Linked DNA regions of Bombyx mori. The protein of the gene in region 1 purifies or fractionates together with the protein of each later gene. This does not show direct contact. Links are inferred from orthologs where the notes say so. Each region holds a gene or a part of one and is shown on either strand. Other genes may lie near its edges. The genes, in order: bone morphogenetic protein receptor type-1B and protein mothers against dpp.

Region 1 (3,936 bases):
AAATCGATTTGTATGATTAGCTACAGTTCCTGCACTGAAGGCGTCAGTTTGTTCGATTTTCCATTAAGCTAATTCGAATTGACCCAGGTTTTTCTCTAATTTAATATGATGTGATTCGCTTATTTTCCAGAAATCGTTCGGGTGTTAAGTGGTTACCGGAGCCCATAGACATCTACAACGTAAATGCCGCAACCCACCTTGAGATATGAGTTCTAAGGTCTCGGTATAGTTACAACGGCTGCATTGCCCTTCAAACCGAACGCATTACTGCTTCACGGCAGAAATTGGCGGGGTGGTGGTACCTACCCGTGCGGAGTCACAAGTCGTGCTACCACCAATGGATGGTATTTGCTAATAATCTCATGGATTTAAAACGTGCAGTGGAAACACCCCAGTAGCAAGTCTCGTGAGAAAATAGCCTCGCGCGTATAATAAAGTCAATACTACGCGGAATACAACTAACATTATGTCCGTTAGTGACACGACCGCTCCATCAAATCCTCCAATCATGGTTCGTATTAAACTAATGACATTACATTATTTGCAAATTGATGCTTAAAACGGTAGTCGAGAACAATGGATCTGTGGCGCGTGCAATTTGAATTCATAAGAGTGATTTACGTGCGATTTGGCAACGATCACGTGCGCGCGTTTGGTTTTATCGTTTGAAGTGGATGCGCGCCGCCTCCGTGCTCGAGATGCATTCGTTTTGCAGTGTGCTTAGTGCGAGTTTCTTAACATTCTCGATAGCATAAAAGTTAAGCCCATTTTGTATGCAATTGGAACCCCTATTTTGGCCCTATTTTGGCTAATTGGCGCCCCTAGTTACAAATGTACGCAAACGATCCCATTACATACAAATATGAGCTAACTTTTACGTTAGCGAGAACCTTAAAAAACTGGCACTAAGCACCCTGGTCTCTCTCTGACTTCGAGTAATTTACGACTTCGACGCTATCCACGACGGCCCGACCCGCACACGTGATCCCCATATGGACTCTCGCGGATGTCAATTCCGACAGGTTCGAAATAAAGCAACACGTATCAAGGGAATCAAAGAAAATGAACATCGCAACTATCGTATTAATCGATCAAAGGAAACGTTAAAGGAATAAGTCGAGAAAGCGTCGATAAATGGTAACCATAAACACGGGACCTTAACGGTCGCCCGATTAGTTGGGCCCTCGGTATAGTTTTATAGTTCACTTCTGTCTTATAACATGTGCAAGTAAGAATATTGACGTGTCGTAAACTATTAAAAGCTACAGCTACTGACAGATGTTAGATATGCAGAATCGCATAGCATTAGAATGTTATCTAGTATGTACAGTACTAATTTCCAAAAAAGCATGTGCCAAAAAAGGATAGGTACCCAAGGACCACTTCTTTCAGTTTTAAATCGATCTCAATAATTCATTCAATATCCGTAATCAATTCAACAGTTTGTGTTAATGAACCGTGTCTCCGTTGTTTATACTTGAAAAGTAGATCACATAAGCTATCGATCGGCGTATTGTATTGTCGTCAATGAATCGCATTTAAATATGTGTATCATGCGTCTGTGCGAAGTTGTATACCTATTAGTTGGGTATTATCTCGGCACGGAGCCATGTGGAGGCTGTGCAGCGAACGGTGCGGCGGTGCATAGTGCACGCGGGGAGGGGGCAGGGCTGCGGGGACGCCACTCGAGTCGAGCGCTCCGTCACTTCATTCGCGCACCACGCGTCACGCGGAGGACACGCGTCCGAATACGTTAACGTGTATCAGTGCGCGCCAACTGTTACGTATCCCGAGAAATCCGTGCGTTGTGACTGTCCAGTTTTAATCTTGGTGGTGTAAAAATAAAGTCGGCGACAGACGGCGGCGTTCCGAGTTATATTTAAATGATAGAGCGGAATCGGGACTGGGCTCGCTGCAAAACACCGACGACATGAGGCTGAGTACGTTCAACGCCTAGTATTAAACTGTATCGTAAATCTTTGCGAGGCTTGATGCCCGCAAGCCTGCATATCATGTTTCATACGACGGCTCCAAGGTTGCTGAGAATGGTGCCTCCAAAGATCTCAGATTCATAATGTAAAATAATGTTGTTTGGAAGGTGTTCCGTCGAAGTTTCAGATGAATCTTGTATAGTTTTTAGTCGGACGGCTTTCCTGCCATGGTTCCGTCTTCGGAGCGGATTTGTATAATGAAAGGATGTGCATGTTGATTCATTCATCGTTTCCTGTGTTTGTCGTAACTTTACATGCAACGTTCGGGTCTTCTAGTAAGTTTTAACTTGTAATTCCTTCGTCCTCTGGTACTGCATTATTAGGCGAGTAAAACTCAAACTCATATCCAGTCAAATGAAAAAGAAAAATACAAACACTGAGGTGAATTCTTCAAGTGGTTGTTTATGTTTTACAAATCAATCCATTTTTAAATGACACGCTTAATGATTGTAATGAAGATTTGTTTTTCTTTAATTGACCATATTTTATCGTAGATGGTTTGTCACAACAATATCATATAATCATTTTTTCGTTATAAGAAGACAAATTAGTTATTGAAGTATTTTTGATTGGACATAAAATGGGATTGTTTATTTGATCCTGCGATTGTAAAATTATTGTTCAATATTGAGTGACACACCTATCATAACTTTGATAAATATAGTTACATAGATTGTTGTATTCCAATAACAGTTAAACATATTATTTCTAATCATTTTTTTTACTTTAATATATTCTCATTGTAAATTTGAACAATAGACCTATTCCGAGCTCTCTCCAGCAAATGGTTCGGTTTTAAGATTTACCTGTTCTGATTTCATTGTTGTTCTCGGACCTTTTGTATTTATTTTCCTCAGCCAGCCCTTGTACCTGTGGCTTTTCAAAATAGGACACAAAAAAAAGCCACATAAAAAGTTTATTATTACGGTCGTAATGAAATGTTCAATCCACATTAAAATTTGTCCGGTTTAAAGTTTAAAAGAAATAAATTCAACAGAAAATCCATAGTGTCGTACAATTGAATATTGGTATAGAGTTAATTCTTTTCAACTGTCGCCACTTATTAATTTTGCGGGCTGCTCTACCAAAGATCTTTCTTTAGTCTTTAAAAATTTGGAACTAATTTCCCTACCTGAACTTTATTAATGATTTTCCACAAACGAAGTATGTGATAATTTCTCGCTTAGTATTCATCTTGCCTCTGATGTGTCATGTCCATGTCTATGCGTAGCGGCGACCTTTTCCCAACAGGTGGCAAAAGCATACGACACGATGACATGCCTTCGAAGACCATAAATAAAATATTTAGGTACAAACTTTATATAGACATGATTTTGTCGAAAACCCTGCAGTGTTCGTAAACAATGCGCAATTCCATCAAGAGGAAGGTTATATTAAAAAGAGCCCATAAGGATTGTTAATTACTTCTTGAACGAGTTCTAGGTATCGAGAGAATCACAATGTCACGGTACATTGAGTCTTTTCAATTTACGCTTTGGTCAACTGTGTATACACTTTTACAATGGAATCATTGATTACATTTCACAGCACAGACACACACACACACACACACACACACATTCAAATGCTTCAGAAATCTTTGGGTATCGTGAATTCGGAAGTTTCATTAATTATTCTTTTCCTTGACTTCTTCACTTCATCTTCTAATTTCCAGCATTTACTACCCAATACTTTAGGGTCATAATTTTGGCCATATTTGAAGAAACTATCGAGCCGACTTTTCTAGATGTTTCTGCAGCACTATTTTTTTAAAAAGAAGTCTTGAATGATCTTTAGTACTATAAAAGTATTTAGTGAATTGAAGTAATTTTGCTATTGAATGCGGAAATAAGCGAATGGTATAGTTGCTGCCACGGGCAATATTCATGATTTGGGTTTAGGGGAAATTAAAGCAGGCCATTATCATATTATACTATTATCCTTA
Region 2 (3,936 bases), on another chromosome or scaffold:
GCAGGTAACAATCGAACTTCTGCAATCATCAATCGAACCTACACAGTCCACAGTCCAAACACAACAGTCGAGCGCACAACCTGGACAATTCGCAACCAAACCTGTTAATCGAATCGAAACAACTACAGAAAATCCAGAAAGCAAAAAATCAAATGAACATAGGCCATTCATACAAGTAACAAAATCAACAAAGAGTCCGATCGGGAGCACCCTAAAAGGATATTACCGAGAAATCAACCCTACCCAAGGCTTCGGTGATGATGTCGGGGAAAATGAAGATAAACGCAAAGGAAGATATGATTTATCTAAATTTAATCAAGGTATGATTTATTTTCGATTTATTTTTAGTACATAATGTATGTATGTCCCTATATGGTTTACTTATTTTATAAATGCCAAAGTTTGGGAGGATTAATAGATATTTGGTACTCTTTCACACAAAAACAACACGGCACGTCCTTACGGATCCACCAGATCCATTAATCTCAGCACTAGACGCCTTTAGTTCTAACACTAGGAGCAGGTTCAGGGACCCTGGAAACCGTAATCGTCGAGCTCGGCAAAGAGTTTGACGTGCAACCTAACCCATATAGGTACATATCAGCCCGCTAAGTTTCTCTTCGGCTCTTCTCAGCGGATCGTCCGATCCGGTAGTAGATTCATTGGTGAAAACTTCACTGGTTTTTAACGTGTATGCATATGATACTACTATCATGATAAAGTACTTGATCCAGGCAAGAACAAAAAAATCATTCGCTATAGTAAAGACGACCTTGTACCTATTCTCTGGTTCACGATTTTACGTAGATACCAAGGATCTACAAATAGACTGGTTATGGACGAGAAAGATTGAAAAACAACTTTTTATCTCGGGAAAATATATGAATTTTAGTATTAATGAATTAGAAATGTATCGCAGGTAAAACCGCGGTGCACGTCTAGTAAGATTTGTAATAGTAACTCGTTTGCGTTATATGTATGATAATGTTTCCAAATTCCCGCTATAAATTAATTTAAAAAAAACTTTCCCTGGCTTTCCTGAGTTTAAGACATACGAGTAATTGAAATAGCTGTTACGTTTTAATACCCCGTATTTAATTCTCAATAAATGATTAGTGACGTTTCGAATACGTAATTTTCACCCATAGTAGACCCCTAATAGACTCACTCATAATTTTAACTTTCAGCAAGTTTCGTACAGTGTGTCAGATACTACATATTATTATCATATTAAATTAAACATGTGATTAATACTTATTAAAATATAAATATAAAATAAAATCATAACCTCGTTAAATATTTTTAAGCATTGTAAATAAAGTAACCTCTACTCTGTTATGTACTAATCACGTTTTACTGATTATCAGCTCCGGCAATGCATATGGCCGTTGAAAACGAAATAACATTGAAGACTCTGATCGTCGAAGACGGATCCAAGTATGGACGCTGCTACTGTTCGTGTGACCTGAATAGCAAGCCAGTCTTCATTAGCTTGGATGGAAGTGCTTTGAAACCTAGACGATGAATCCATAGATATACCTCCTAATTAAGTCATTCTTATCCATCTATAATCCATACTAGTTACATAAATAATACAGTAATACAAATAAAACTATTATCAATTCTATATTCACCCGTACCCTAATTTAAGTACTACTATTATAAAAGCTTGTAACTAAATGATAAGCGTACTTTTTACAATGCCAAGATGTGATGTGTATCGATATAACCTTTTTAAAGAAAGAAGATCCAATACGTCTTACGCTAGTCCTTGTGGTCTAATGGATAAGATGCCCGGTACAATCATACCAACCACTACGGCTATCCGTAGCTAGGAGCTAGGAACTAGGAGCTAGGGTATAGACCTTAGGTCAAATCCCGCATGCTAGCACCAATTTTCTTAGGAAATACTTTTCAGATCTTCACGTACAACTTGCACACATACATACTCACTCGCATTTAATACCAAAATATATATTTTTTAAATAATCACGAGGCTGCGCAAATTATTATTTGAAAAAAAAAAAAAAGTTTTTTCATTTGAAATTTGTCTCTATTCATTTAGTTTACAACTTATTTAACTTTAGGCGAGTCACGAAAATCCATATTCGGAAATCTGTTTTATTTGCCTCAGTAAATTATAAAACATTCAGTATACGATGAAGAAGGTGGTTATTAGAAATAATAAGTGTATTATGTATGGTTATTAGATACACAGATTATTTTAATAGTTGTGATTAGATAATTATAAACAATACTGGGGATAAAAAGATGCCACTGCCTCAGAAGTAATAGTGTTCTGTGCCACGGCCTCCGGTGTCTACAATTATGTGTCAGTGATTCGATTATTCTGTCACTCGAATTCGATCTATCGCTAAAATTAGTTTATATAGTTTAATTCTAGTTATTAGTGACATAGAGTATGTTGCTATTCCGACAGAATATTGATGGCAACATTAACAGTAACGTCAAAAAAGGAACTGGTTAATTAACTGGCATTCTAGTTGTTGCGTTTTAAGCGTTTTATTTTTTATAATCTTGAATAAATTTTGTTATCTAAGGAACTTCTGTTGGACAGTCATTGAATTAAAAAAAAAACCGCGTTCTTGATGAATGTGTAAACAAGTGATTGAAATTGGAGGCCGTAAATCATAGTGGGCCGGACGCTTGGCAATTGTCACGCCAATCTTGTGGAGTTCGTAATTAGCCCGGGACACCGTGGGGAATACCGAATTGCTGATCGATGGTGTGTCGGTTGCCGCGGTGACTGTGGGGACGCGTGTGCCTTTGGCCGGTGACTCATAACAGGACGTAGGGATGGACACTGACGATGGCGAGTCTTCAAGTAGCGGGCCTATGTCTAGCCTTAACAGCCTATTCTCATTTACCAGTCCCGCTGTCAAAAAACTACTTGGCTGGAAACAGGTAATCAAATTTTTTAATAATTATAAAACCTATATCTCACATTGAAGTTAGGACTATTGGTATTGATATGGTATTATTTTGACTAAGCATAAATGTCTAAAAAGCGACAACTTACTAACAGAAATGAATGTACTTCTCATATCTTCTGTTAGTACAATTACAATGTCTTTATTTCAATGAGACGAGAAACAGTATTTAAATTTAGCATTTAGTTTGTATTCGGTGTTTATAACTAAACTGGCAAACGATCGGCAAGGACAGAGATCAGTGGAAAGGACTGGAGGAGGCCTTCACCGGAGGAGGGGTCCATATCCAATAACAAAAATTAACTCGTACTAACATTTAGACAAAAAGCATTAATAACTAACTAAACACTAACAAATAAATACCACATTTCAAATGAAAGTTAAGGATAAGGAAATAGGCTTTTTTTTTGTTTTTATTTTTATTTTTTATTATTTTTTTATTTTATTACCTAAACAGATGAGATGTTTTGTCAACTTCACTATAAAACATATGCCTAAGGGTTTGACTAATGCTTATTAGTGCCTACCATCGACCTAATGATCTGATTAGCATCTCTGTAGGTATTTTTGTGATATCAACCCAATGGCAATAGGGGACCTTCGATTAGCAAGTGTGATGAGGATTCTTAGTAGTGATAGAGTAACTAAGTAGGGATTGTGTGTATGTAACATATCAGTACTGCAATATTCTCTTTGCTTCCTTCTGTTTGAGATATCCACTAAAATATTAAGTATTTGTTGTATTAAAATCCATTTCGTCAAGGATTTCAATTATTATCTATAAGCTATAGTCTGACGGGTCAGATAAAATTGTGGGAAACAAATGTATTAATAAAGTAACTAAAAGTGAATAGACATTACTATTAGTATATGTAAATTGATATACTAATGACAGTTAAATGAGGTGTAAGCTAGACTGACTGCATACCTCCAGAATCTTCTGAAATCTTATTGATGAAGAGGTGCCAAAAAGTAAAGATAGGAT

Evidence for each region.
Region 2: the proteins of bone morphogenetic protein receptor type-1B (region 1) and protein mothers against dpp purify together in Drosophila melanogaster (affinity purification with western blotting; 3 studies listed by BioGRID). This does not show direct contact. The link is inferred for Bombyx mori from reciprocal best matches to the Drosophila melanogaster genes tkv and Mad.

What each region holds. Positions count from the first base shown.
Region 1 is NC_085109.1:1,487,687-1,491,622, reverse strand, and holds the start of bone morphogenetic protein receptor type-1B, read left to right. Parts: upstream 1-1,564; 5' UTR 1,565-1,930; coding exon 1,931-1,940; intron 1,941-3,936.
Region 2 is NC_085118.1:1,283,338-1,287,273, reverse strand, and holds the start of protein mothers against dpp, read left to right. Parts: upstream 1-1,580; 5' UTR 1,581-2,817; coding exon 2,818-2,925; intron 2,926-3,936. Other genes in the region: pneumococcal serine-rich repeat protein-like, read left to right, coding at 1-320, 1,368-1,525.